Diceros bicornis minor: one gene and its partner. The protein of the gene in region 1 interacts with the protein of each later gene in a biochemical or structural test. Links are inferred from orthologs where the notes say so. Each region holds a gene or a part of one and is shown in the gene's direction. Other genes may lie near its edges. The genes, in order: RNF20 and WAC.

What was found.
Region 2: the proteins of RNF20 (region 1) and WAC form a complex in vitro, tested with the Homo sapiens proteins (2 studies listed by BioGRID). The link is inferred for Diceros bicornis minor from reciprocal best matches to the Homo sapiens genes RNF20 and WAC.

Annotation. Positions count from the first base shown.
Region 1 is NC_080767.1:11,216,365-11,231,385, forward strand, and holds the start of RNF20 (E3 ubiquitin-protein ligase BRE1A), read left to right. Parts: upstream 1-7,695; 5' UTR 7,696-7,791; intron 7,792-7,827; exon of another isoform or gene 7,828-8,180; intron 8,181-8,837; 5' UTR 8,838-8,863; coding exon 8,864-8,992; intron 8,993-11,626; exon of another isoform or gene 11,627-11,701; intron 11,702-14,181; coding exon 14,182-14,349; intron 14,350-14,468; coding exon 14,469-14,622; intron 14,623-14,774; coding exon 14,775-14,951; intron 14,952-15,021. UniProt on the Homo sapiens protein: Component of the RNF20/40 E3 ubiquitin-protein ligase complex that mediates monoubiquitination of 'Lys-120' of histone H2B (H2BK120ub1).
Region 2 is NC_080775.1:27,435,215-27,450,712, forward strand, and holds the start of WAC (WW domain-containing adapter protein with coiled-coil), read left to right. Parts: upstream 1-8,861; 5' UTR 8,862-8,891; coding exon of another isoform or gene 8,892-8,898; 5' UTR 8,899-8,900; coding exon 8,901-8,941; intron 8,942-9,299; coding exon 9,300-9,335; coding exon of another isoform or gene 9,336-9,336; intron 9,337-10,886; coding exon 10,887-11,101; intron 11,102-15,498. Other genes in the region: uncharacterized protein LOC131398901, read right to left, coding at 417-503, 7,302-7,503, 8,273-8,861, 8,892-8,898.

The DNA of each region.
Region 1 (15,021 bases):
TTATAATGTTAGTTAAAAATGTATAAACATAATCTTGGTATAAATGCCTTAGGCTTATATAACTATACAAACCAAAACATATTTACAAATTAAATATAAATACAGCCAAATAATCTTCACATGAACAATATTTGGTGTGACACCTGTGTTGTTTTGCTGGCATTAAGATACTGCTTGCAGTATGGATACGGTGTGCTATAGATTCTTTGGAGTTCAGTGATCCATCTCATCACTCTTGACTGCCTGTTGGGGAAGATGCCTGACCTCTATCCACGCAGATTCTCTTAGGACACCTATAAATTCCAAGGGTGAGAGAGGGTGTGCCTGGAAACCTAAATGCCCCAAATTTGTGCTCAGAGAGATTGACCTGAATGAGCACAATTACCCTGGGCTGGGATAATGATTATTGCATTAAAAAAATTTTTTTTTTTTTTTGGTGAGAACATTTAAGTTCTACTCTCTTAGCAGATTTCAATTATATAATACAGTTTAATTTTTTAAAAAGGAAAATATCATAGTATTCCTACTGTCATGGTGTTTCATGCTAGCACTATAAATTTAGATACATTTTCCATTGTGAAGCTATACCATCATTGAGCCAGCCCTTCTTGACAGGTATCATTAATATTAAAATAATATATCTAATCCTGCTTGTTTTGCTTCCAGGTTCATCAAGTAGCCTTTTGATTATCTGTAAATGTGGCTTCATGCACAGACCAGCTACAAGGAGAAAAAAATTAATGACCAGAGAATGCACATGTCTGGTGTTTTTGCAATAATTAACAAATAGGCATTTTGGTTAGAACACTGCATGTAAGTTTGGATAAGGAGTGTTTTCTTTAGTCCCTGATCCCCTGTGGGGGTCCTAAAACTGTAATCAATTTTGTGTTTTTGCCTCAGAGTAGGAAATAAGGTGCCTTCACCTACATAATACCACCTGGGGAGGTATCTTTATGCTAACCAGTCAGCCTTCCCTAGAGGATGCCTCTTTCCTGCATTGCATTTCAAATGTTAACACTGCTTCATTATCAGAGTTGATGGGTTTGAGCAACAAGAACTGGGACATTATCTGGAAAGTCTTAATCAAAGGAATGGAGACTTGAATTGGACCTTAAAAGACAGACATGGTGTAGATGTGTGACCCAGATGGGGCATGGTGATTAAGAAATGGGGTTCATATCACACAAGCAAATTCAGCTGTTAACTGCAGAAAGACAACATGTAAGGTGGTTGGCATGGACTGAAAATATACGCAGTGGGAAAATACATGCGGTGGGGAAAGACTACATGAGTTAGGGAGTCTTCAGCGTCATCATTCTCTTCAAGACATAAGGAGATAAAAAAGTGAAAAGGAGTATAAAGAAAGGAAGCAAGAAAATCATCATTTGCAGATGATAGGATTGTTCTCCACCCAAAAAAAGAAAAAGAACCTAAGAGAATCAACAAGAGAGTTTTGTAAGATAATAAGTCGAAGGCAGAAAAATACATAGCTATCCTATATAGCACTTATATCCAAGTGGAAAATATAATTCAAAAAGTCTTATTCTCAATAGCAACAAAACCTACGGACTATCTAAATATAAATTTGATAAGTAACATGAAAGACATAATAGAAGAAAACCGTGACACTTTACTGAAACATAAAGGAGCACTTGAGAAAATGGAGAGATATGATGTGTTCCTGGTTGGGAAGACTAAATATGAGAAAATTTTCATTTCTCCCTAAATTATTCTATAAACGTAATGCACTATATCAAAATCTCAACAGAATTTTGTTTATAAAGTTTACAGATAGCTTTGATTCCCCGCTCCTGCCATATGCCCCGTCTCCAAATACCATCATGCTGCGTGTCACAATACGTGTTTTGGGGGGGGACACAATTGAGTCCACAGTATTGGGTTATTGAAAGTCTTGGGGGAATGGGCTCTTCTTCCATTCTCCTCTCCGCAGGAGTAAAAACAGTAATCTTTGGAGTAACTTTGGAGTAAAATACAATAATCCCTTTACAAACTACATTTGAAGGGATTAAAGGAGTGCCTGGGTACTAGAAGTGGGACCACCTGTCAGCAAGACTCCACACCTTCATTTGCAGGAGTCAGATGGGAGCCCCTGGCCTCTGTGTCTCTGAGCAAGACTCCAAAGCGACATTTTTTCAACCTCAAAGCCTTAGGACCTCCAGCACTGGTTATCCCAATCCTTTGGTCATCCAGTGGATGCTGTGGTGTGCTGTCAACATCTTCCCCTGCCCCCCTTTATTTATTTATTTTTTTGTGAGGAAGATCAGCCCTGAGCTAACATCCATGCTAATCCTCCTCTTTTTGCTGAGGAAGACCGGCCCTGAGCTAACATCTATTGCCAATCCTCCTCCTTTTTTTCCTCCCTTTTCTCCCCAAAGCCCCAGTAGATAGTTGTATGTCATAGTTGCACACCCTTCTAGTTGCTGTATGTGGGACGCGGCCTCAGCATGGCGGGAGAAGTGGTGCGTCGGTGTGCGCCCGGGATCAAACCTGGGCCGCCAGTAGCGGAGCGCACACACTTAACCGCTAAACCACGGGCCGGCCCCCCGCCCCCCTTTAGAACTGAGGAGCTCATTTTCCCCAGCTGCCGGGAATGTTGGATGTCAGTGTTCAGCTGAGTTCCTATCCAGAGTTTGCCCTTGGCTGAAGAAAGCCACCTCACTCAAAGTCCTTCCCCCTTCCCCAGGTCACCTGGTATCCACATCCAATACTGATTGATGCAGGGATGTAAAAGCTTAGCCTCCATGCCTCAATTCAGGGCAACTCTGATAGGCTTTCCCAGTTCTCGAGTTACCCACATCAGTGGAGGCCTTTGTGGTGACAGCAACACAGTCCAATTTCTCCTTCTGCCCAGTCCTGCTTCTTCCCCTCTCCTACAGGTGCTAAAGCTCTTGCATGCATATCTCCATGTCAGAGTCTATTTCCTAAAGATTCCAACAAGGGTCAGTCTCTTATTCCTATTTGACTCTGCCCCTGGCCTTTGTGGACCCTTCTCCACCTCTTCCATTCTTTGAAACTCTTTCTAAATGTCTTCTGGAATTCCAGATCAGTCAGCAAAAATCTTTACATGAAGGTTTGAGATAGACAATTTTCTTTCAGTCCCCTGGATGTTAGAATAGTTATTTCTAGTTTACTCTTATTCAGAGGGCTCTCTAATAGTGTTGACTGAGGAAAAATCACTGCAATTTAAACGGCAGATATTGGGCAATTAGAATTGCAGTTTGGGAGACACAGGTTTAGGCAGAAACCCAAATGTGCTCTGGAGAAGACAAGGCAAGGGTTTATAAAGAGAAAAACAGATAAATCATACAGGCTATTTTGCAAGATGCATGATTGGTGCTAGCAACAACCGTTATTCCTTGGCTATGTGTGATTGGTTGCTAAGGCATCGCCAAGGCAAAAAAGTTCTTACCCATGGGAGGAAGCATTTTTCTATAGAAATAAGCATTTTTTCTTTTTTTAAGGGAAGGTCAAGATAACAGCGAGGCACAGCTCAAAAATTCACGCTGCATCATGCAGAGGTGTGGTGTACGTGCATAAGCCTCACTTCCTCAGCTCCATTTAGAAGCACCGGCACATGTGACTCCATTTTGTTATTGCTGTCCACAACAGGCACTCAACCTTGATAGGCCCTGGGCTTTGTCTCCTGTACCTCTTGCCTTTCAAGGCCATGAAAACCTAAGTTCACTTTTACCCAGTTTGACAAATGCCCTTAAGCTGAAATCCAGTTTTAGTCCTCAGCTTGTTTTCTAAAGGATGGTCATTCTATGCTGCTGAAAATGAAAATTCAAAATCTTACCTTCGTAACTATGTTCCATACCCCTACACTAATGCCTGATGCAAGCATTTCAGTAATATTTTTTCTCCTCCAAGGCTGGGTGGATTGCCAGTTACCCAGTAACAGCAGTATGAAATAGTGGACGTACCCAGTGAGAATTCACTAAGACAGCGTGGCTTTTGCTTTGCAAATTCTCATCCTCTAGAGGGAGTCACGGCCAGCACAAATGCATAATGAAAATCAAAATTATAAAAATATTAGTAACCTAAACACAGAATGTCACATGGCCTAAAAACACAAAAGACCAATTCTCTGTCACATATCACAATGCAGCTTTTCAGGAGAGCATTACATGAAGTGGGGCTTCTCTGACAATTTGTGACTACAAATCAGCTCTCATGCTTCCATAAACCCTGCTAGGACTCCCTGTCCTCACTCTCTGAGGATGAGAGGCCTGGCTTTGGTCCCCTGGACTAAGCCATGACCACGGTCCCCAGAAATCACAAAGTGAGAGGGCCGGGCATGGCATAGCACAGCGGACCAGGTGATCTGGGGAGAAGGAGGCAGGGCGTAGAGAAGAAGAGAGAGATGTGGCAATCCTACCTTATAGGAGGAGGTAGGAGAGGCTGAGGACAAGAGGAGGGGCTTGGTTTCTGTAGAACACTCTCAGGAAGAGCTGGATATCATCACTTAGTACAGTGTTCCTCAAACGTGCCCAGATGGTGGGCATAATTTCAAAAGTAAGAACTTGCATTTCCAGAGAGCTTTCCCCTGGAGATTCTGATTCACTAAGCCTAGAGCAGGAGCCATGGAGTCTGTATGTTTCTGTTTAACAAGTGATGTCATGCTAGATAAAATACAACTTGACTAAAAATAAGGATAAATAAGGGACTTCTGGAATTATGCCTAGCACACAAATAATCCAATCCAGACTTCATGGAATATTGGAATGCATGGAGATATAACAACAATCTTACAGCAGTACATTTGCAGAGAACATAGACAAAATGGTAAATAAGAATCCAAAATTTCTTAATTATGTCTTTTATGAGAGCATTGAGCCCATCCTAAGTAGTTGTCCAGGTTTCTAAGAGTTGAAGACATGACCGAAGGGTAAGTGCAGTACTCTGCAACGGAAGCTTTAGAAGAACTGGGATCAAAAGCGTGTTGCCTGCTGCCACCTTGTGGCAGAATTGTGTAGTTAACGAAAATGAGGGACAAGTCAAAAGAGTTGGGTCCTTTGACAAATATTCATTAAATAACTTGGAAAAATCACTTGAAATCTTCCTGAGTGTGTTTTCTCCTCTAAAAAAGCATTATTACTGTATTAGTTATGTTATAATGTTGTTGAGACAAGCAATGAGAGCTTTCAAAGACAAGTGATATAAAATATTAAGTATTATTTTAGTATAGCAAATGCTGCTCTGCCATTTCTGGGTGAGGGCTAAACATTTTTCCAGGGCTAGTCTTTTTCTCTTGATTAAGATGGTGAACAGGTGGTGGCTGGTCAGAAATGAGGAATAAGGTCAATGAGCACAGTCTCTGCCATCCTCCCCTTCATCTATTCCATTTTCCCAATTCTCTAGGGTGAGACTACCTCTTTGGATCAGGACAGGCTATCGGGAAGGTGTCAGATGGCTGACTGGGGCTTTCGGAAAAGATACATCTCACCAGCAGCTGGAGAATGTGGTTGTCTACATGATGAGAATTGAAAGGTCCTATAAAGATCTGTTCTCTTCTCATCATCTTCTCTAGCGCTTTGAAATGTGGGTTGAAGTTAGGGCTGTCCTGAGTTGATCTGGCTCTATTTCCCTGAGATTCTCTTAATTCTGCCCACCTCTGTGTTGGCTTCATTATCAAGCTGGGTAGCAAGAACTCCAACAGTTTCAGGCCTCACACAAAAAATTCAGAAGATAAGTATACTGCTTCAGTCCTAGTATTCAAAGCAATTCACCCTGAACTGTCCATTGTTAAGACTAGGACTTTGGCTTGAGGAATGGGACTTACTATTTATATTAAGGCAATCTTTGGAGATGGAAGTGAAGTCGGCTTCCCCCAAGACATACGGAATGAAGTAAGTGAAATGGATATGTGAATAATATCCTAGTTGTGTTAAGAAGGTGAGGGAGGGAGAATGGATACTGGGTAGGCAACCAATAATGTTCACTTAATATCAGCAACTGATTTATGACAATACAACACACAGGTGATGATACACAACTGAAACTCGAAGAGTGGCAGGGAACTGATGATGAAGAGTGGGGATTACAGCAAACAGGAATAAAAGAGGAAGCACTGCTCAGCTCTAGGCAATGTGGCCATGCAAGAATACAAGCCTGGTGTTGCTAGATCCTCAACATTTCCAAGAGAAGTTGATAATCTGGATTTTTACTTCAAATATCTTATTTTAAATGTTGGCAACAAGCCAGTTTTTTTTCCCCCTCCTTAGCCACAAAGCGCAGCCAATACTGGCCAAAATAAAGCAAGCATATCTGTTGGCCAAATACAGCCTGTGAGCCTCTTGTTTACAAACTTTGGGCTAGAAGAACCATTGCTTGCCATTCAGCGGTTCTGTGGATGCAAGACTTGCCAAGAGTAGAGCAGCCAAAGTAGGGAGATCAGAGAATGAATATCATTTCTAGTACAATGCTTTTCAGCAGGTGGATCCCCAAACACGGTTCTCAGGGTTCTGCTTTGCCTGAAAAAATCTGAAGTCCAAGTGGGGCCAGTTACTTCTTTCCAGGCTAGTTAAAGCGTTCCAGTACTGGAAACCACGAACACTCGTTTTCCCATTGTTTACTTTCTTACTTCACCCACAGGTAAGACCTAGGGACAAAAGTCTTCACGTGACCAGAAATCCAGTGTGGATTAGGGTTGATCTTTTTTCCAAAGATGCCTAAATTCCATTGGTGGTTCTTCTTTTTTTTTTTTTTTTTTAAGACATAACAATCATTTTTCCATCTCTGGGCACCTATCTGATACCATGAGATACTTTTTCATAGTTCTATGACACATACAGCCTTTTATTGATAAATTAGAATGATTACCTTACTATCATTAAAACATAGACATTTAGCTTAATTGAACAGGAAATAGCAGTTTGTTATTGACTAAAACCAATGCTTAATTAGCTTCAAATAGACTACTGTTGAGATCAGAAACAACTCATTCATTTGTGTTTCTTATCTTTTCCCTGGTCAATTTCTTGTTCCAAAGATGCACAACAGCAGTAGTTGTCAATGTTGTTTGCACACTAGAATCTCATGGGTGGGGGAGGGGTGGGGAAATGCTTTAAATAAAGTGTGGATGTCCAGGCCCTACCCTACAGGGACCAAAACTCCCCAAGTGACTCTAATGTGTAGACAGGGCTGTACATAGTTCCCTGTAAAAGTCTCCAAGCCCCGAAACCCATCCAACCTCTTGGATTTTCTGCAGAACCCTTCATTTCAGCACCAATGGACTCCGCCGAGTAAAAGTTTCCGGAGGTATCGGAGGCTAGCTCTCACCTGCCGGAGATTGACGGGACCATCAGCCAATCGGCAGCCTGAAAGAGTCTCGGTAGAACTAATACCAAGCAACAGAACAAGGCACTTTATCTCAGTAGAAAAACCAGGTGGCGGGCGCAAAGGCCAACAAGCCGAAAAAGTCACTGGAGCTGAAGGCCCTGGTGCATCCGAAGTCTCAGCCGACCGCACCTGCAAACGTTGCCAGTGAGACCGCGCTTACTTCCGGGCGCTCGGCGCCCTCGCGGGACGTCACTTCCGCCCGGCTGTGTTGCGTAGTCCACCCGGCCGGGTTGAAGCGACTTCCTCTTTTCTTTCCCTTTTTCCTGTCCCTGGCCCCGCCTCCCGGAAGTTCGATGGGTCTGCGCCCGCGGGTCAGGGGTGAGAGGTGGGAGGGCTCTGCAGACGCTGGTGAACAACCTGCCTGAGTTCTGCACCCGGGCGGCGCGAGCTGGAAGAACCCGGGTTAGGTCTCGGCCCAGGGCGCGACGGGTAAGGGCGGGCCCTCGGGAATCGCCACCCTCTCCGGCTCCCGGGCGTGCAGGTGGCCGCGCCGGAGGCTGGGGTCCTTGGCCCCTCGCGAGTCGGGTTGAGGCCCTTGTCCTGCTTCTCTGTCTCCCCTGTCCTCAGGCGAGGTCCCGCTCAGGCTGCCGCCCCCAATACCCCGCTCCGGGAGCTTGAATTGGAAGCAGGGTAATGTGACGGCAGGGCTGCTTCCTAAAGTAGCCAGGTGCCTTGGCATTCATTCCGCCTCATTTGAGCTCCGGAACCCTGGGAGGCTGGTAGGGCAGACACGGTATTTGTTCGCTTCCGTTGTACGTCTGAGGAAACTGAAGCTTTTGGAGAACGAAGTCTTTCAAGGCAATTCAGCTTCCTAAGAGGTAGCACTGGGATTCGCCCCCAAGCCTAGCTTCCCTAGGCTTGCACAAAATCATGGGGAGAGCGTTTGGAAATAGGGAAGAAACTGGAAATATAAAAAGGAGAGCTGGCATTTCTGAGCGCATACTTCATCTCAGGCATTGTGCTAAGTTCTTTCTGTACTCATTCATTCCTTATAAGGGGCATAGGAAGTATATACTGTTGTTATTCCTGGTTTAGGAACTTGAGGCTCGGATGATAAGTGACTTGTCCAATACTGATGATTTGGTAGACATCTCCCAGCTCTCTTTCAGCTCTGTGATTCTCCCAACCCTACGGAATTAACTTCCATCCTAATCAAACTGTACTTTTCAGATTTTGGCATTTCAGGAAGTGAGATTTCTGAAATTTTTCTCGATCTTTTCATCCTTTGCCGGTTGCTTTCTTTCTTATCAGTATTCCATTTAGAAATTTATAGTCATGTAAATTCAGCCCTGACTCTTACTCCACAATTTACTTTTTTCTTTCTAAGAGGCATTTGGGTTGCATGGTGTGGAATTAATGGATGCAGGTTAAAGGGTTGGCTGGAAAAATTGTTATTTTTTACATCATAGGTGGTCTCTTTTTATTGTTGCTCTCATTGCATATCTTACCCCAGTTTCTGCCCTTTTTCCCTCTAGGAAAACAGCTATTGTCTTGTGCCAAGATGTCAGGAATTGGAAATAAAAGAGCGGCCGGAGAGCCTGGCACATCCGTGCCTCCGGAGAAGAAGACAGCTGTTGAAGATTCAGGGACCACGGTGGAAACAATTAAGCTCGGGGGCGTCTCTTCAACGGTATGTGGCAACAGTGCTATTAGAGGGTGCTTTTCTTCTGTCAGTTGCAACCTGAAAGTAAGAGTTTATGGAAGCCTTCTTGATCTTTATTTTCAAAAGTGTGCTTATATTTTTTGGAGAGTCTGGTGCCTGAGATAGCGTTGATTATAGGTATTTAGCAGTGGGAAGGTATACATTCATTTTTCATTCACTGAAAAATTAAGTGCCAGATACTAAGAGGCAGTGTAGCAGAATCATTGAGAGAGTGATGGCGAGGGAGAGTCTGAGGCCAGACTGCCTGGAGTTGACTCTCCACTCCACCGCTTCCTAGCTGCCTGGCCTTGTGGTATCCTGCCTGTGCCTCTTGTTTCCTTGACTGTAAGATGTAATTATAGTACCTTCCTCATTGGGTTGTTGAGAGGATAAAACGAAAGAGTCCGTGTTCAGGGTTAAAACATTATCTCTAACATGGTAAGTATTCCATATATGTGAGCTATTCATAATTATTATTGGACTAGATGATATGGATATAATGGTGAATGAAACAGATACTATCCTTTCTCTTATAACAGTTTCCTTAGACTGTTATACACCAAAAGCTCATAGTGATGTTATATGTTGATTAGACATCAGCAGCTTGCTATAATGGGTTTTGATCTAGATCAGGATTCCGTATTTTAAAACTCAGCTGTGGGAATATGGTGTTAAAATGCTTTACATCTGTATAGCTTACAAAACCATATCTGTTACTTATTTGTTTTGAGGCTGAGGATTAGAAAGAGTAATAGGAACATTCAGAGTAAACTATTGATGAAGTGTCATTTCTGAGACCATCTGGGGTTCAGCTACTCCATACTGCTGCCAGGAGGTGATTTTTTTCTCAGCACTGTCTCTCATTATGCATCCCAAGGACATTTATTCATTCAGTAAATATAAACATTTGTTGAGTATCTGTCATTTGCTGGATGCTGTGCTTTACACTGAGGACAGCCCCTGGACTCCAGTTTGTAGGGTGGCACTGACAAGGGAGCAGACTGTTATGATAGAGTGGGATATGTGCTCTTCATAGGGATAACCACGTGCTCTAAGGGAAGGTGGAGCACACGTCCCAGTACTGATGTAATCCAGAAGGCAGTGAGGAGCCATTGGAAGGTCTTAAGCAGGGGAGTAACATGCTCTGATGTATGTTTGGAGAAAAGACTTAGAGGAGCAAGGGTTATAAGCCAGAGTTGAGTTAGCAAAATTGTTCCCTTGTTCCTTCTCTCCCTTCCCCCTCCCACTCCACCTCTCTAAGGGTGGGGAGCTGAGGCATATATCCACTGATTCCTGCCCCAATTGGTTGAAGGCAATAACCTTTCCTCTGCACTTCGAGGTTGCTGTAGTGAGCCAGCTGAGACTGGAACCAAAAACTGAGACTCCAAAGTGTGCTTAAGTGGGAACACTGGCATTGTGAATGGAGCTGTCCACCACAGCTGTGCTGAAGTCTGGCAGGCTGACAGGACATGGCATGGGGCACAAATGTCGGCTACAGGAGGCTTTTGCAGTAATCTTGATGAGGATCGTAGTGGTTTGGACCACTGTGGAGGTAGCATTGACAAGATTTGCTGATGGACTGGATGAAGTATATGAGAAAAAGGAGGCTAGATGACCCCAGGATTTTGGAAGTATGGGGTTTCCACTTACTGAGCTGGGGAGGAGTAAGAGAGGAGCAGAGTTTTGGGAGCTGTGGAGAATGAATCATGAGTTTGCTTTTAGACATGTACGTTGGAGATATTTGTTAGACCTCTGTGTGGATGGGTAGTTGGATATTGTAATCTCCAGTCTGGAGAGAGGTCTGGGCTACAGCTGTACTTTTGGGAGTCATCATTTTGTAGATGATTTTTAAATCCATGAGACTGGAGGCTCTCCCCTAAGAAGTAAGCGTAGATAAAGACGAGATCTGAGAACAGAGCACTGGAGCACTACAGCATTTTCGTGTCAAGGAGATGAGAAGAGACTAACTAAAGAGATGGAAGAAGAAGCGCTGGTGTGGTAGGAGGAGAACAAGAGACAGTGGGGTCCCAGAAGCCAAATGAAGATAGTGTTTCCAGAAGGAGTTGATCAGGTGCTGCTGATGGGTTGAGTAAGGGGAGAACTGAGATGTTCGAGTCAGCATGGAAAGTTTGCTGGAGACTTGACCAGAACTGTGTTGGTAGAGTGGTGGCGATGGAAGCCTGATTGCAGTGAACTTAAGAGAATATGAGAGGAGAGGAATTGAGGAAAAGAGGGTCGAGACAGTGCTTTGGAGGAGTACTGATGTAAAGCAGAACAAAGAAAATGGGGCAGTAGCCAGAGGGAAACGAGGGGTCGAGGGAAGGTTTTGTTGTTGTTTTTTGAGGCAGGAGATATTATAGCACGTTTATTGGTTGAAATGATTTGGTAGCGAGGACAAACTTGATGTAGCAGAAAAAGGAGACAGTTACTGGTGTGATGTCCTTGAATAGGCGAGAGAATGTAATATAATGCGCAAGCGGGGAGATTGGCCTTAATTAGGAGCAGGGACAGTTTATCTGCAGCATCCAGCAGGAGGGCAGGGGATATGGGTTCAGATGTAGTTGTGGTTGTGGGAGACAGATGTGGGCATCCTCTTCTGATTGCGTCTGTTTTTTTTTTCAGTGAAATCAGAAGCAAGACTCATCTGAGAGTGAGGATGGGGGAGGAAGTTTTGGAGGTTTGAAGAGACAGGAGAAGGTATGAAGTAGTCATCTTGAAGAGAGAATGGACTAGAGAGATGGAGTAGGCTTGCTGGGCAGCACTGAGGACCTCCTTGAATTTGTGGTCACGAGTTTAAAGTGAGCCCAGTCAGCATGGTGCTTGATTATTTTCTAGTCGTGTTCAGCTGTGTGTGTGTAGGCCTGGAGTAGGTGGGGAGTTGGATGTTACCAGGATTGGGGTTTTACCAGGCTAGTATGAGGAAGGAGAAGGTTATAAAGGGACTCGATTTTAATGACTGATCATGGAATTTAATTTTGATAAAGAAGGAAGAGAGGAGTGAAGGACAGGGAAAGGTGTAGGAATGTTGGAATGTAGATTCTGGAGGAGTTGAAGAATTGTTGGAGTCAGAAAACTAGAGAGAGTGAGCTGGAAAAACAGGTGGTAATTGTGGAGAATGGAGTGTTTGAAACTGAGCTTATGGAGAGCATACAGGTACAGCCAAGGCTAAGACTACGAATACCTGTGGGAGTTTGGTGACTCAGGGAGGTAGAGGATGAGGTCATTGGAGGAAAGGAGGTCAATGACTTGATGAGCCAAGATATAGGAACGATCATCTATGTGGAAATTGAAATCAGTAAGAACTATGACAGGGGTAGAATTGGAGAGAGTGATAAAAGTGAGGTGCTAAATCTTCAGGAAATGTGGAAAAGTGACCTGGCCATTTATAGATGAGTGCAACAAGGCAGAGTGCCAGGTGGTATAGACCAATGGCATGAGCTGCAAAGCTAGGAGGTTTTAGGGAGGAGGGAGAGATAACGGCCTAGAAGTGGCAATGAAGAACAAGGAGGACACCCGTCCCTCCAGGCCCAGGGCTTTAAGGGGTGTGAGAGAGAAACCACCACCACTGGAGAAGCCTGCAGGGAAGCAGTATTCTCTTCCAGGTTTTAGTTAGAGCAAGAAGGTGAAGGCAGTGTTCAGAGAACAGGTTGAGGATGTAGTTCAGTAATAGTATTAATAAACTGGTACAGTTGGGAAACTCTTGACTATTTTGGTGTATCAAGAATGTTTTAACCAAAATGGGAGAAAATAAAAGTGAAACAAGAAATTGGTGTTCTAATAAGTAGTTCTTATTTTAAAGTATTCATTAATTCCTAGGCAAAGTAAAAATGTAATCCGTTCCACGTACTGTTCTTTTACCGAGATACTACCTACCCCACTCCGGCACCCCACCTTGTCCTAGGGAAGGAGCTAGAGAGAGAGAGGTGAAAGATACTGAGAGGGGTGCAGAATTCCTAATGGAGTGACGATTTTGAAGAAACAGAAGAGAACGAGGTCCTGAGCACAAGTTGAGGTTTTAAGAATGTGGGCATAGGTTGGTAAGTGGTGTGAAGGGGTCAAGGAGATGGGGAGTTGAGGAGCTTTCCATCTGATGGCTTCTGTTTTCTTGTTAAAATAGGAAGCAAAGTCATCTGCTTAGTGTGATGTGAGAGGAGGCAGGGCTTGGTAGAGTTTGATATTGCCTTGATGGAGAGTAGGAGATAGCTCACTTGTTAAAGAAAGAAACATTTCTGGACAACTTATAAGATCTGTTCAGGTTAGGAGTTCATTTTATAAAGGCACCAGTCTCCCTGACTGATCATATCTAGAGGTCTCAGCATACTGGGTATAGGAATGGAATAGTCAGATATGTGGATTAACTCAGACTGGGGTTTGTTTGCAGAGGTGGAATAAAAGGATTAAGGGCAGAGAATTGAAGAGCCTGATAGGCGAGTGTTTGAAGGAATGTACTATAGGTATAGTCAAGATATAGAAGATAATGGAGACAGAGGGGACTGACAGAGAGAAAGGAGAGAATTCAAAATTTTGGAGATCTAGATGAGGACTGGTATTTTGGAATAAGGGCATGAGTTACCTAGAAAGATATGGTTTTATTCAGGGAATGGGAAGTTGGAATTTAAGATTTCAGATTTGGCACAGTTTCAGATAATGAGAAAAATCCAAGATGTGGCTTTTGAAATGCATGGCTGAAGCCCAGTGGAGGAGATAATCATTGGAGTTAAGGAATTCAAAACACAGCCTACATGCCAGAGGATGTCCACGTGTATACTGAGGTCACTGACAAGCACTGGGATAGAGAAGGACCCAGGTGTCAAAGACGTGAATAAATGAAGGGCAGTGCTCAGGAGATAGGTTAGAGTGTGGATCAGTGTAGAGGGTGATCTAGCTGGATGGTGGAGCCTCATGGTGTGGTACTTTTGTGGATGTACCTGTGATTGGAACTGTAAGATGGGTGAGAGAGTTCTAGTATATTTGTACGTGTCATTCTTTCCTTCTATCATCATAGACCCTTTCCTTTATTTCTTCTGCTCCTACTTCTTACCTATTTGTTGTAAGATTTTTTTGTAATGAATAGCTTTATTCATGGGAATTAACTAACTAATATGACCTTGTTGAGTTTAGCAGCTGATCTGTTTAATTTATTTGTGGAGACTAATAAGATTGGTTTCCTGAGGCAGGAGGAGTTAGACATTCGAACGCTGCAAACCAAAAATCGCAAGCTGGCAGAAATGCTGGATCAACGGCAGGCCATTGAAGATGAACTCCGTGAGCACATTGAAAAACTGGAGCGAAGACAGGCCACTGACGATGCCTCACTGTTGATTGTCAACCGGTACTGGAGTCAGGTAGCTGGCTTGTTTATCTGCTCAGGTTTTTTTTTGAGCAATATAGTTCTCCTTAGCACTGTCTTCATTTCCCAAGTTGTGTATTTTGTTTTTTCATAATTGTACCTACCCTTCTCCAGTTTGATGAAAACATCCGTATCATCCTTAAACGTTACGATCTGGAGCAGGGTTTGGGAGATCTCCTCACCGAAAGAAAGGCCCTTGTTGTGCCTGAACCGGAACCAGACTCGGACAGCAACCAGGAACGGAAAGATGACCGAGAGAGAGGCGAGTGTTTATTGTGGATTCTACCACTGCTGCTATCTGGGTTTTTCAAGTGGAGCTTTGCTTTGAGGCTCTCCATTTGAGGGAAAAAAGTAGATTTTGATATTTCCAGTTTTATAATGTTGGGGGCTTCTTTTTTTCCCCCGTGTCCTCAGGGGAAGGGCAGGAGCCAGCTTTCTCTTTCCTTGCTACTTTGGCCAGCAGTTCTAGCGAAGAGATGGAATCCCAGCTGCAGGAGCGTGTGGAGTCCTCCCGCCGAGCTGTGTCCCAGATTGTGACCGTCTATGATAAACTGCAAGAAAAAGTGGAGCTCTTGTCCCGGAAGCTCAACAGTGGAGGTGAGGCAAGAACCAGGGGACGGGGAGCAGAGGGGGAGTAGTAAGAACTCACCTCTGCATGCTGATTTGT
Region 2 (15,498 bases), on another chromosome or scaffold:
ACAAATGCCCCCTGGGTAATCACCTCTCTGCCTCAGGAGAGGTTCAAATTAGGTGAAATAGGAGTGAACTTTTTGCACCAGTCCTTCACAGAGCCACCAGACAGGTCAAAAATACATCATCACAATTCTTTGAGGACAAGGTCCATTCTGCTCCCTCTGGCACCAGGAACCTACACCTGAAATGCAGGTTGTCATCTTCAAAATTGCCACTGAACTGGCGATGAGGAAAATGTGGCCATGGTAAGTTTAACTGACACAGAGGTCTCCTACTGAGATTCAACAACCTTTTTCTTGATTAAGTGTTTGTCTGGCTACTGTAACCTTTCACCAGTTTCCAGAGTTGATATAAGCTTGTTTCTGACAATTTTTGCCAATTTATTTGCTGCTTATGTGGAGAGATGTGTCCTTGGAGTTCCCTACTTGCCATTTTTGCTGACATCACCTCCATGGGACTGATTCTTGAAGAACCTCAACATTTGGTAATGGAGTAGAAGAGGATGAGTCTGCAAAAAGGAATGAGAGGAGCTGTCAGAGAGACAGGAAGAAAACAAGGAATGTGATGTGTTACAGACACCAAGAGAGAAGGGTAATGCAAAGACAGTAGCTATCAATGTCAAATATTCTAAGATCAAGTAGGAAAAAGACTGAAAAATGTTCAGTGGACACAGGTACACAGAAGTCATTTGTGACCTTAAGACTGTTTTTCAATAGGGTGATATCAGTATTTTGAGAACAATTCTTTTTTTTTTTATTTTTCACTTAGGAAGATTCGCCATGAGCTAATATCCATCGCCAATCTTCTTTTGTTTTTTTGCTTAAGGAAGATTCCCCCTGAGCTAACATCTGTGCCAGTCTTCCTCTATTTTGTATGTGGCTTGCCGCCACAGCATGACCACTGATGAGTAGTGCATGTCTGCACCCGGGAACCAAACCCGGGCCACCGAAGCAGAGCACGCCAAACTTAATGACTAGGCCACAGGACAAGCCCCAAGGACAATTCTTAAATGTAAGGGACTGTCCTACACATTGCAGTATATTAGGCATCCTTAACCTCCCACAACTAAACACCAGTAGTACCCCTCACCCTCAAGTTATAATAAAAAAAATATGCAAGTCAAAACCAAAAAAATCCTGCCACACATTTCCAAATTCCTCCTGGAGAATCAGCACTACCTCTTGAAGAACCACTGCCTTAGGAAAATCTATTTTGGTGATGAGGGCAGATGTCATAGTATAGTGACCTGAAATATAAATAGAGAAGCATGAAAATGAGTGAGGTGCCAAAGGCAAGTCTTACTGGAAGTTTGGCTGAAGTGAGAAATACAACAGAGTAATTGCAGGTAAGGAAGGGTTTTTTTGACATACGATTCAGACATGTTTAAAAACCAACAGAAATGATCCAGATGAAAGGGACAGTTTGAGTATACAAAGAAAAAGATCATTGATAGTGTAAAGTAACTGAAGGGGCGGAAGGAAAACATATGTGAAGGAAATAACCTTAGAGAGGAGGCTTAACTCCTGTTTTGAAACAGTGACCTTAGGACAATACAGTAGCATCCAAACTCATTTCCCTGCTTCCTTTCTTGCCATATAAACTATTGTCAACATAGTAGCCAGTGCCACTTCTCTGCTCATAACTCTCCAATGGCTTCTCTTCTGACTCAAAATAAAAGCCAACCTTTTTAAAATGGCCTATTAGATCCTTCATGATCTGCTCCCCCATCCCTTCCTTTTAACCTATCTGACCTCACGTCCTAATACTTTCCCCCTCAGTCACCACATTTCACCCACACAGCTTTCCTTATTGTTCTTGAACACATCAGGCACACTCCTGTCTTACGATATTTGCTCTTACTGTTCCCTTTGGCAGGAACAGTCCTCTCTAGACACCCATAAGGCTTGCTTCTTCATCATGTTCAAGTCTTTGCTCAAATGTCATTTGCTCAATGACCACTCTATTTAATATATTACTCCTTAATCTGGTACTTCCTATCACCCTCCACTCTTCTCCATAGCACTTACTACCTTCTAAACTACTATATCATTTATTTATTTTATGCCTGTCCTTTCCCACTAGAATATAAGCTCCAGGAGAGTAGAGATTTTTGTTTGTATTGTTCATTGATGTATCCCCAGCACACAGTGGGTACTCAATAAATTGTTGAGTAAATATAAGGATAAGTTGCGTGTAGGTATATTTGTATATTTGTAAGCAGGAAGAAATTTCCATTTGATGGTTTCAGTTTAGGAGGAAGGAGGCGATGTTATCTGCTGAAAGTGAAGGAGAGTTAGTAAAGTGAGGGGGATAGGTTTGAAGAGAGTGGAAGTCTGAAAAACTTGTTGGAGTATGTGAGGAAGACGAAGAGAGAAATGTAACATTGCTTGGCTGTACTTAGGGTCCGTTTGATTTTGGTGACCACGAGATTTTAGTAAAATCAGTCTATTCTATTGTTCAATAGTCTTTAGCAGTGTACAACTGCTGAGAAGTACTGAGAAACTGAATAGTCAGGTTAATTCAGGCTAAAGTTTTCCCAGACAGAGGTAAAGGGTCTAGGTTGTATTTCTCAATCTTGGCTGCACTTTAGTCTCTATCACTTGGAGAAACTTCAAAAAATGGCCAGTTTGCAAATCCAGAACTTCCCTCTACTGCTAATACACGAGTTAAAAAGGATCCCAGGATCTGCCGATTACATTATTTGTATTATTATCCCTGCTTAGAAGGATACACCATACACTGACATGGTGCTATCCTGGAGGTCTTTACTCTTTCTAAGTAGTAATTTTTGTTGCAGTTTTCCTATTTTTCCACATAATTGAATAAAAGCCTCACATCACAAATCTGAGAATACAAAGGGTCTCCTTTTAGTTATATATTGTAGTTAGTTAAAATATAAACTCCATAAGAGCAGAGACCAAGTGAATTTGCTTCATATTATGTTTCTAAGCCATGATACACAGACATTTAATGATGCTTTTGAATGAATGAATGATAACCATCATTGGTGGAGCATGTGCCAGGTGCTGCTAAATTATTTATATAATTTACTTGTTACAAACAGCCCTATACCCTCTCAAGCCAATTTTAGAGATGAAGCAGCATAATATCTGAGACTTGGGTAATCTGCCCAAAGTCACACTGTTAGTCAGTCAATAACAGAGCTCTACATTATGTCATTCTGATTCCAAAACCCACGCTTTTAATCACTATACTATGCCAAGTCTGAGAGGAAGGCAAGGATAGTGAAAAAAGCGATAGAAACTAAGAGGTAGGTAAAAATTTCAGGGAATATATCCTTATTTTGTGCCCCTTTAGAAATTCCAGCAAAATCTATTTTAAGTCTCTTTTACAACTAGAAGCTTGAGGACTTCACTTTTTCATTCTTTCTCCACCAATACGATCACATGCAAATCATGGTCACTTATAGTCTGTGGGCTGATAGTTCTCCCCCTCTACTGATTGATGTGTGTTAATCTATTGGTTGAAATACGGGACTTTTGCTCACTTACAAACTTGAGATTGCTCCGTAGAAAGAAATGCAAACAGTCTGCTTAAGATTTGCTATATAGGCAAATTTATGTAAATTTTCAAATGTTATTTGTTATACCTTTTTCTGTATTAGGAATAATCCAGCTTTTCCCCATTTTATTTGTGACAGCAAGATTGGATCTATAATTTTATTGTTTTTAGAAAGCAAGCAGAAATAAACTCATACATCTTTTCCTCTTGAGAATTACAGTATTTTGTTATTTTCTTTGTATATTTTTTTGTAGGCAAATATCCTTTCATTCAACAAATATTTATCTGATTTGTCACAAAGCTTTCATTTTAGTGGGAGATAACCCAACAGATAAACAAAATATATGACATACTATATAGCAAATAGTATAAGAAAAATAGAGCAAGGTAAGGGAGAGAGATGGCCATGGGGTGCCATTTATATAGCTTTCAACGGAAAGACCTTTCTGATAAGGTGAGATTTGAGAAAGATCTAAAGAAGTGAGAGTGTGAGCCAGGTAGGCACCAAGAGGAAAAGTATTCCAGGTAGGATAATAGTGCAAAGGTCCTGAGACAGAGACACGCTTGATATATTGGAGAAAAAGGGAGGATAGAGTAGTGGAAAAAGAATAAGTCAAGTCATTGGATATAAAGCCCGAGGTAACGTGGGTGGGGGCAGTTTACATAGCACAGTAGACCATTGTAAGAACTTTGGCTTTTATTCTGAGATGGGAAGCCACTGGTGGGTTTTAAGATGGGAATGATATTGACTTTTAAAGAGATTACTCTGACTGCTGTGTGACTAGACCATGTGGAAGCAAGGGCTGAAGTAGGAGATCAGCAGGAGGCCTCTGCTACAGTCTAGATATAAGTTGGTGGCTTGGACCAGAGTGAATGGGATGGAGGTGGTGAACAATCAGACTCTGGGTATATTCTGAAGATAATACTGGTAGGATTTGCTGGGGAAGTGGATGTGAGGTCTGAAAGAATCAAGGATGACTCCAAAGTTTGTAGCCTCAGCTGGAAGAATGCAGTTGCCATTTCATGAAATAGGGAAGATCTGATTGGGATTTGTTTGGGGGGAAAAATTAGAGTTTGGTTTTGGATACATTAAGTTTGTGAAGCCTGTTAGACAGTCAAGCAGTGCTATAGAGTAGGCAGTTCAGTGTTAAGTCCAGTATTTAGGGAAAAGGTGTGGGCTGAAGACTCAAATGTGGGTTTCACTTGGCTGGAGATCTGGATGGGACTGCCTAGGGAAAGAGAGTAGAGAGAGGAGAAGCAGTCCAAGTTGTGAGATTTGAATCCTGGGGCACTCCAGCATTTAGAGGGGGGAAACTGAGAAGGAACCAGCAAGGGGAGTAAGGAACAGCCATTTAGGAAGGAAGAGAAGCAAGAGTGAAATACAGAATGGAATCCTGGCAGGCAAGATAAGGAGCTTCAGGAAGGAGAGAGTAAGTCATCAGCTGTTTCAAATGCTGCTGACAGGTGAAGTGAGATGAAGACTGAGGGAAAAAAATGGATTTGAGAACATGGAGGCTAATGACGATTTTGAGCAATTTCAGTGGAATGTCAGGATCAAGTCTGATTTGTAGGTTCAAGAGAGTAGAAGTGGAGATGAAGTTTTTCTATACAGGAGAGCAGATCAGAGTAATGGGGCAGCATTTGGAGGGAGATACAAGTCAAGATTTTTTTTTTTTTGAAGATGGTAGCTATTAACACCTGTTTATGGGGCTGGCCCCATGGCTAAACTCAGCACGCTCCACTTCAGCAGCCCTGGTTCTGTTCCCAGGCACAGACCTACACTACTCGTCAGCAGTCACGCTGTGGCAGCAACCCACATACAAAACAGAGGAAGACTGGCACAGATGTTAGCCCAGGGTGAATCTACCTCAAGCAGAAACAGGAAGGTTGGCAACAGATGTTAGCTCAGGGTGAATCTTCCTCAGCAAAAATAAAAATATCAACACGTTTATAAGTTGACAAAAGTGATCCAGCTGAGAGGGGAAAAATTCATAAGGAAACTGGACAATTCCAAGAGTAAAATGGAACTCAATGCAAAAGGGGCAAGTTTGGTCTTAGATGGGAATTTTGACAGTTTATCTACAGTTACTGGTGTAGCAGGGTATTCAGATGCAGGAAGATTGGCAAGTGCCACAGTGAGAACTACTACTGATTTCTGTTTTCTTAGATAAGAAGCAAGATAATGATTTACTAGAGAGGAGTGGGATGTACAGTCAGGTTTAAAAGATGTTAAATAGTTGTTTAAGAAGGCGGGATAAACGGATTAGGGAAATTAGCCTGAGGGGGTCAGGAACACAAGGAGCTCACTTCAGAGTGCAGATGTGTTTTTCTCCAACCAAGTTCAATAGCTCTGCTGCAGGCATACAGTGAATTAACAAGGGTTCTGATTTAGGCACGTACAACAAAGGAAGAAGGAGGAACGCACTGAAGATACCTGCAGAGGAGGGTTTATAACAACAGATAATGCAGTCTAAGGTAGGCAATGAATCTTTAAAAAATGGGTATAGCATTCAGATGTGCCTTTTAGTAAATAGTCGATTCTCATTATTTGAGGTAGTTATGTTCTATAAAGTTACCATGAACCCTGAACTGCTCCTGGGGGAAATGCAGGGTTCAGTTCCCAAGAGACTCTGGTCACAACATTTTCATCAATACATAATGTGTTTCATGTGTTTCTGTTTAGACACCTTGTTTAATATATATTGTTGATTCATTAATACTGAACTCATTATGGCCAAGAGCACTAATGATAAGTCTGAAGGTAGCTTATCTAGGACAGTGTTTTCTCTGCAAGGCACATCACAGCCTTCTTGTGCTTAGGAATATCAGACAGCACTTCAGCACTATGCTTGGGGGCACTTAAAACAGCAAAACCACCAATAAATAGCACAAAAATGTGAGAAACATGATGATATGTATATTGTGAAAAGCACATCTGTCCACAGTATGAGAGCTGAAATAAGGCAGCAGAGTGTCCCCTTGCTTAACCTCAGCTGGACACATGCATGTCAGACAAGTTAAATTTTCTGTCACTCTGCGCATGTCCATGAACGCTGCACATACTGATTTTCAGGGTACAAATAAATTTTAGTAAGTAGGCGAATTCGCAAATATGGAATCTGTGAAGAATGAGGACTGAATGTACACTGCTTGGAACTGTTTCCTCCATAGCTAAGCCCAGTCTGCTGCTTTTAATCAAATAGTATACATCAATTTCAGTAGACGTCTGATTATCAAACAAAACAAATGTTGCTGTTAGTTGTCAAAAAGTTTCTACATTGATATATTATTTTCTATACTCTTCTAAGCTGGTGTCTCTTGTTTTCAATGTATTTGTTAGAAAAATGTTAGAAATTGCACATAAGACTCGAGGTTTTTTTTTTTCCCCTCATTTCACTCACTGGCAGTTTTTCCTGAGTTACCGACAGCTTACCGGCATGAAGTAGGCTTTTACTGGTCCTCACAAACCGCAATAATTTTAGTATTCAGCAGGCAGCTGTGACAAATAAGGGTATGTAATTCTTTCTTTCAAGCAGTTGTAACGTCAGGGTCTTTTTCCTCACATCATTCCATTTCTTCATTAGGCCCAACAACAAGATAACTTGTTGGATACCAAATAAATCAATTAGTTTTTGATATTGTCTTTTGGAGGGATCTTATTTGTGATGTTTCCTATTATACCTTTTTATTCTGTGTAAACAGTTGTATATTTATGTTTATTACAATCCTTTTAATTAAATTAATGTTGCCTTACAAGGAGTTTAGAGCAGAAAAAAAAAATTACCGGATTACTGCCACTCTCAAGTAAAGCTTCATTTTCTGGCAGACTTGACCTGTTCCCTCCCATTATGCCAGCGTTGCTACTGGGCCTGCAGCAGGACGGAAAATTCAATTTGCAGCCATTTCGTGGAGCACCCCCCATGCCTTTATTCACATGCAGAACTTCCAGAGGAATTTCACCAAAAGGCTCCAGCGAGGAAGAAGAACTAAAAGAGAGAAAAACGAGAAATAAAGGAGAGGGTGGGGAGGGCACGACTGGCGGTGGAAGATACTGAATGTGGAGGAGGCGATTGGTTCAGCATTTTCTCCCAGCAACCCATCCCCCTAAGGCCCCAGGCCCACCCGAGGTTCTACTTCACGGCCCGGAGCGGCGCCCTCCTCACTCTAGAATCTTCCCTCAGCGCGCAGACACCCGGCCTCCCTGCAGTCTCGAGACCCCCCCCCCCCCGTCGTCTCCCCTCCTCGGAAAGCTCGCTCTCCCGACGTTCCGGGGAGTGACTTACTGCCAACTGCCCTCGCCGGGCTCCGAGCAGCCCCCGCCCGCCGAAGGCCGGCCGCGCGCGCGGCGGCAGGGTGGGGGCAGGCGCCCAGGCCCCGGTTCCGGCTCCATGAGGGGCCCGGGGGAACGGTGGGCCCCCCGCCTCCCTGAAGCGGCTGCCGTCGCAGCAAACCGAGAGAGCTCCTTGACAGCCGTCCGCCCGCCGCTTGACCGGGGGCTGCCGACCACCCGGCCAGCGCCCGAAGGGGCGGGCACCCTTCCACCCCCGCGCCGCTGGGCGCACGCGCAGCAGCCGCCGCCTCCCTATTTAGTCCGCGATGGCTTCTCTCGCGCCCCACCGTCCTCCTCCTGAAGGCGGCTCCCTCCCCGCGCACCGCAGGGCCCCTGGGACCGGCCTCGAGCAGGTCCCCGAGCAGGACTATCCCTAAAAGGGAACGGCGCTGGCCGGACGTCGCGTGAGGAAAAGAAGCGGCAACCGGAAAGAGCTGACGGGTCGCGAGGAGGCGAAACAGGCCTCAGAGGAAGAGGAAGGCCGGGGCGAACCGAGGTTTGCCGAAGGCGGCGTTCCGGAGCTGCGCGGGGCGGGGAGAGAGGCAGAGGCTGGGAGAGGAGGGGCGCGGCGGAAACTGCCGAGGTTTGCCGAAGGCCGCAGCGGCCGAGTTGCCCGGATGTAGTTGGTGGAGCGGCAGCGGCGGCACCAGCAGCGGCGGTGGCGGCGGCGGCAGGAGGAGGAGGAGGAGAAGGACCAGGCAGCGGCGGCGGCGGGGGGAGGAGGGGAGGCGGCGGCGGAGCAGGAGGAGAAGGCGGAGGAGGCAGTCGCTCTCCGCGGGGCCGAGCCGGACGCGTCTTCTTGGCCCCCTCCCCCCGGTTCGCCGCTGCCGCCGTGTAGTTGGCGCCGCTGCCCGGGCTGAGTGTGAGCGTGGTGCGACCGCAGGGAGATGGCCCGGGAGCGCCGGCGCCAGTAACGGGGAGGTGCTGAGAGTCGCCGAGGGCGCGCCGGGCCCTGGTGCCGGTGCTGCCGCCCGCCCGCCCGCCGCCTGCGCGCCCGCCCGCCCCTCGCGGCCGCTCTCCGCCCCCCGACACACACTCACAGGCCGGGCATTGATGGTAATGTATGCGAGGAAACAGCAGAGACTCAGTGATGGGTAAATCGTCTTTTCCTTTCCGGCCGGGCCGCAGCGGGCGGGGGGCGGCGGCGGGGGGGCTGTTCCTCCTGAGCTGGTGCTGCCGCGCCGCCATTTTTGTTGTTAAGCCTGCTCGGGATCGGGCGGGGAGGAGGAGCCGCCGCGCGAGCGGGCGAGCACGGGCGGGTGCGGAGGGAGCGCGGGCCGGGGCGCGGGGCTTCGCCCTCTCGGGGCCGCCTGAGGCTGCGTGTGTGCGCGCGCGCGTGTGGGCTGGTCGCCGGTCCGCTCGGGAGGTCTCCCGCGGGGAGGGGCGGGGGGGGCGCGTTTTCTTCCTCTCCCCGAGATGTCTCATGTCGCTGCCTCTCTTCCTGTTTTTCAGCTGTCACGACCGGAGGGGGGACTCGCAGCCTTACCAGGTACCAGCCGAGCCCGGGGTGGGGGGTGGATGGGGGGACGGAGGGGGAAGGGAGGAACTGCTACTCGAGCGCAGGCTTCAGAAGTCGCTACAGGCCCTTCTGTGCAACAGATCCCAAACTAGCACCGCGGGGCCCCTGAAAATCGTGTGTTGGGTTCCCTGAGCGCTCTCCAGCGAGCGTTAGTGACTTGTTTTGACAGGTGACTGGAGGAAGTTCAGTTTTTTTAGAAAAAAATCATTCTCGGCCAGAAAAGACCTGACTTGATTATTTGGGCTTGAAGGAATCGGTGGGATGAGGTGCCTTCTGAACCATATTTATTTATTGTAGTGGGGAACTAAAAGTTAACGTAAAGATATTAAAATTAGAACTAAAAGTTAATGTAAAGGTATTAAGATTAAATGAAAGGTCTGGGAAGAAACAGCTAATTGATTCGCAACTCTTAAGTGTGTTGTAAACCCCTATCGCTTCCCGTTTTGTTTTTGGTGCAAATAATTGCCTGACTAGTGGAAGAGTGCTTTTGTTTCTGAAAGAATTGAGATCTTTGGATACTTAGACAACTCATTCTAATGTAGACAGTGCTAGGTATGTTGGTTCCTTTTTTTACAGCAGTTGCTGTGTGGAAAGTTTTTAAAAATTGTGTGGAAGTGGTCCTTTTTTTCAGGAGGAAAAACTTCATAAATGGTTGGTAACTATCAGATGACACCAGAAGTAAATACTTTCTACATCTGATCACTTAAAGGAAAGGAGAGTAGGTTTCTAAGCTGACAGTTTTGTTACTGGCTACCGTGAGTTGTTAAAGCTCAAGTTAAAAACCTTACGTCCCCTGATAACGTCAAAAACATTGTTTGTTACATTTGGATAGTCAAAAATTAAACGCTGTTGAATCTGCCCCTCTAGAACATAATTAATTATATGCTGTAAAAGACTGGTATATCATAGTTGTCTTAAATATGTTTTAGAATGAAACTAAAATCATTGTGAAGGGAGTTCCATTATGTTTTGTTAGAAATATCACACAACATTTTTATACCTTAAAATTGTATCCCACATCTGCAAGAGTTGGTTAGTTAGGTTTGAAGTGCTGTATTTGAATCAAAGAATTGGAGAGACTGATGCTTTTATTTTTTGTAGGTTTGCAGAAACATGCTTATGCTTACTTTTACTTGTAGTTGTAGAGCAGAGATAGCTTACAGTAGTACTGTTTGTACTTTTCTTTAAATTAAATTTTTTAGTTCCCAGAAAAATTTATTGAGGAATTAATGTACAGAGGTGTCTGATTTCTTGTATTTACGAGATACTTAATGGAGTGGATTTTTTTTCTTTTATTTTTTCTCTTTTACATAGGGTATTATGATTTGTGTGAGGAGTCTTATAGTAACTCTTAGGCATTTAAGACTTGTTTGACTAACTTAAAGGCAGAATTGAAAGTGGAAATTTTAATTTTATTGATATAAATTTATGAAACAATAAATTTAATAACATCAAATTTTATGATAAAATTAATTTAGGAAGTTAAGTTTAAAGTTTCAATTCTTTCTCTCTTCTTTTTGGGGGGGTGATGTTTTACAGGCACTTAAATATTCATCGAAGAGTCACCCCAGTAGCGGTGATCACAGACATGAAAAAATGCGAGACGCCGCAGATCCTTCACCACCAAATAAAATGTTGCGGAGATCTGATAGTCCTGAAAACAAATATAGTGACAGCACAGGTCACAGTAAGGCCAAAAATGTGCATATTCACAGAGTTAGAGAGAGGGATGGTGGTGAGTAGCTTTTTTGTTGAAACTTTCATGTATGTTTATTTTTCACAATAGCTCTATGTAAAACAATAGATAAACAAGGGGGTGGTAATATTTCCAGCTTGTGGACATTACCATATGGTTATGTCATCAAAATAATTTTATTTTTATCAACTTATTTGATTCCTAAGCAAGTTACTGTAGAAGTAAGGTGCTGACCTGAGGATCTGAAAATGGACTTCACTGGTTGATAATTAGAGAATGCATTGATGAATATAGTCTACCAAATTCTTTATTAAGGAGAGAAATGTACAGGACATTTTTCCAAGAAAGGAGCTTTAATCTTTTCAAATAAAGGTTTCAGTTTATTTGGCTTAGTTTATTTTGAGATCCTTGTTGCTACTTGAATTTATTTTTTAAGGAGTTCAAGTGTGTTTCCTAAGGATAAATTATGCAGTTAAAAACTTAGTATGAAAAAAAAACTTAGTATGTTTTTTGAGACAGTTCACAGGTTTAAAAAAAAAATTTGTGATTCAGAAAATTCCTTTTCGGTTTTTGTTGTAAACGTTTAAAATATTCTGTATTCTCCAGGGTCTTGTGAATAACCTAACTTCTATACCATGTTCATTGAAGTATTGAACTTTTTAAAAGTTAGCCTTTTGTGCAGTGCTGTGACTCTTCAGTTACCTTGCCTCAAGCTCTTTGTGGTACGAGGCTGAGAAAAAGTAAATAAAAATAAACTCAAAACTATTTTTAAACTTAATTTGCCCAAAATGTACCAAAATATCAGATTCATTGAGGACCATTCATTGTTCCTCAATGTTTAAAGCATTCATGGAGGAACAAATCAATTTCACTAAGGTGGTTAATACCATTTATATTTTTCCCACATTATATTGCTTAGTAGATAACGTCCTTGAGGTGAATATACAGTATTGATTGTGCTTTTATAAACTTCTAAGGAAACTAAGTGTTGTACCATGTGGCTTTCTGCTTTTGATTGTCAACTAGCTTCTCAATACTTTGTTTACTTTAAAAAAATATCCTGTATCTTTTTGGCCTCTGTTTTGCCTCTTAGGACAGAAATCAGCTTTACTCAGTGTGATCAGATATTGAGAAACATTGGCCGCCTCTGTACGTAGTTCCTGGATTGGGGAAATTAATAATGGTTAGAAGATTGAATGAAGATGAAGTAGTTTGGATGGTTATTGGATGAGTGCAAAATAATATTTCTCTTTTGAATATAGCTATATATAGCTTTGTGCTGCTTATGCAGCACTTAGAAACCATACATTTGTAAGTAGAAGTAGCAGGCACGTTTGGTTATTAAAGTATTAGAAGTTGTTGACAAAATTACTTAAACTATTAATATTTTCAATTTTGTGGGTAAATTTTCTATAGTCTTATGTGTAGTCTGAGATCATGCTGTTATCAACCATTCTTCTATAGTGATTTCATTTCGGATAATAGCTCTTGGAAGGCAGGTACTATTTGTGTTACACTGTTGTATTTTTAAAATTTGGGGGATTGTGACAAAATAGGATGTGGCAACTCGTCTCCTTATAGATAAGTATCTTAGATTCTCTTTTAGTGATTATGTTCCAGTTAACGTATCATCTGTCCCCAAATCCAGGAAGAAGTCAGTGAGGTACTCGAGGAAACTTCTGTAAAAGCTTTGTTACATTTACAGTGAACCATGCCTGATTAATTCTTTTACAGGTGAAATAATCCCAAGAACATTCTGTTGCTTATTCATTCAACAAACATTGGGCATCCACTGTGTGTCAACAATTGTGTAGTGTTTCTGGAAGTAAAGATAAGATGCAATCCTGGCCCTGAAGCTATTCTTAAAGGCTTTGACTCTTGAGAGCTAGTGGTGGTTTAGCTGCTTACTTTTTCTGTAATCCTTTTTTCTTCTTGTTGATTTTAATTTTACTTCCTATGATAACTCCAGATAACCTCTTGTTGGCTTTTAGTTTCCTTTTTACTTGCATCTGCTTGCTGATTTTTTTTAGGTCCATTTGTAAGAAACTTCTTACTTATTTTTCTCGTCTAGTCCTTTGCTAAGTTAGGCCTCACTTTCTAATTTGCTTTTTAGCTGCTTGTCTGTCTTCCTCTGGAGCCTTTTAACTGATGCTGTAACTCCATCCTTGTCTGTACTATCTCTAAGATTACCTCGTTGCCATATTCCTTTATACTATGTAGGAATAATAACACCATAATATATTAGATCTCCATTCTGGAGTTCAGAGTGCCTTTTTGCTGTTAATTCTGTATTTTAAAGATCTCAAGTGGTAATTCTTCCCTCATTTAATACTTAGATGTTTAGTCATTATACTTTGACTCCAGGTGTTTTTTTTTTTTTTTTTTACTGCTAATATGTGTTTGAAACTAAGTTTTTTAAACTGCATATGAATAATTTTATCACAGATATTTTATTCCCTTAGATTTCTATCTTTAAATAAATATGAATTTATATTAAATATATATAAATATTTTTATGTGCATATATATATTCAAAACCATTATCCAAAGTCAAATGCAAGTGAGTTGGATTATTTTTGCGCTCAGCATGTATAAGTAACAATGTAACAACAGGTTACTATATTGTTCTACATAATTTCAAGTCTGTTTTTTAATTTTAGGATTTAAAAACAGTTAATGACTTTCTTTAGTAAATATCTAATAACAGCCTATGTGCTGTGATTTGTAACTTGCATTTTACAAAAGCAAGTTAAACAAATGTGGAACTTGCAAGATGTGTTGATGTTTTTCTCAGGATTGGGCTTTCTGGTATCTATCCACATCACAACATAGTTTTTTCAGTAATTATTCGATTTCTTTCATGGCACCTTGGATTTCCTTGAAAAGTGCCAGTTCAGAAGTAATGTATAAAAGTACTTTAAGATATACTATAAAAAGTAAGAAAGCAGAGATTGAGAAGGATTGTCACTCCTAGAAATCTTTAGTTAAGAAAAGACTTATTGCAACATAGTACATACAGTTATAAGTCAGAGATTTTATCCCTTAAGAGTTTATTAAAGGGAATGTAGATTATCTATTGTAAATTAAGGGAAATTATGTGAGAGTATAACTTACTAAAAAGGTTCTTTAACTTAGTGAAATAAGTTATTTTTATGTATTCTGTGATCTATCTGCAAAAGATATAATTTTTTGTGTAAATATAAGCAAAAGCAAGAATCTTAAGGTATAATTATTAGATTTGTTATTCATAGCTTAGACATGTTTTTAAAGGTGCAGTTGACATCCGAACGTCACAAGTATGAACATACAGTACAGGTTGAATTTGTACTTCTCTGGAATTTTAAAACTCTTTCCATTTGGTTAAAATACGTTTTTTTGGAGGATTAGTTCTAAATGATTATTTTACCAAGTAACTTAAAATTTAAGAATGATGCTAGTATAAATGAGTTTAGGAATGAAGGGTATCTTTACAGAGATTCTGTAAGGCTGTTCCGCAAAACTTCAACCTCTTGGGAGTTGTCCCATTTTTCTCATCATCCCTCTTAGAATTAACTGTAATAAGATATATTTGGAATACTTGTTAGAAATATCTTTTTTGGGGAAATAGCTTAGCTCCATTCGTTAATTGAAAAATATTCTTCTTTATTGGTTCCCTGATTTGTGGGACTTGAGTGCGTTTGCAAAGCTTTGTAGTTAGCATCCAGATATCTTTGAGTACAAAGGAAAATTGCCCTTAGTGGTTTAGTAAGATTGTCTCTAAAGCTTTTAAAGTTTTTAGCTGTGTACTGAAAGTTTTTAGCTTGTTTTGTCATTTAAGTGTATCTGGAGAAATTTGGAAATGTATTTTCATACAAAAGTTACTCTTAACATTTGAAGGAATTGTTCAGTAGGGACCATTTGGGGTTAATTGGTGTTTTCATAGTTTTTTAAAAAACGTAATTTACTAGTGTTTGGATCTTTTCACATTGTACAACATGGCCTTATGGTTATTCAGATAATGTTATGTTTTGAATAAAATGGAATATGCTTTGCATTTGTAATATTAGAAAGTACTATAAAAATGAACAGTCTTATTTGATCCTCATGTTGACCTTGGAAGGTAGATAGAACGTAGTATCCCTGTTTCATAGCTTCACAAATGAGGGAAAATTTACTTGTATGAAATTGAACAAGTAATGACAGAGTTGAGTCTAGAAATTAGTCCTTTTTCTACTCTTTCTAAATTGTATACACTGTCAGAGATTAAACATGTAGGCATATTGAAAGCTGATTTGGTGGGTGTTTACTATGGCACAAATTAGTGTAAAGGTGATTTTGCTTGTATCCTCTTAGTGCTTTCACCTAACTTCCCCCAGTGGTTACAACTTACCTCTTTATAGTACAGTAGCAAAGCCAGGGCATTGCCATTGGTACAGTGTATGTGTGTAGTTCTAGAC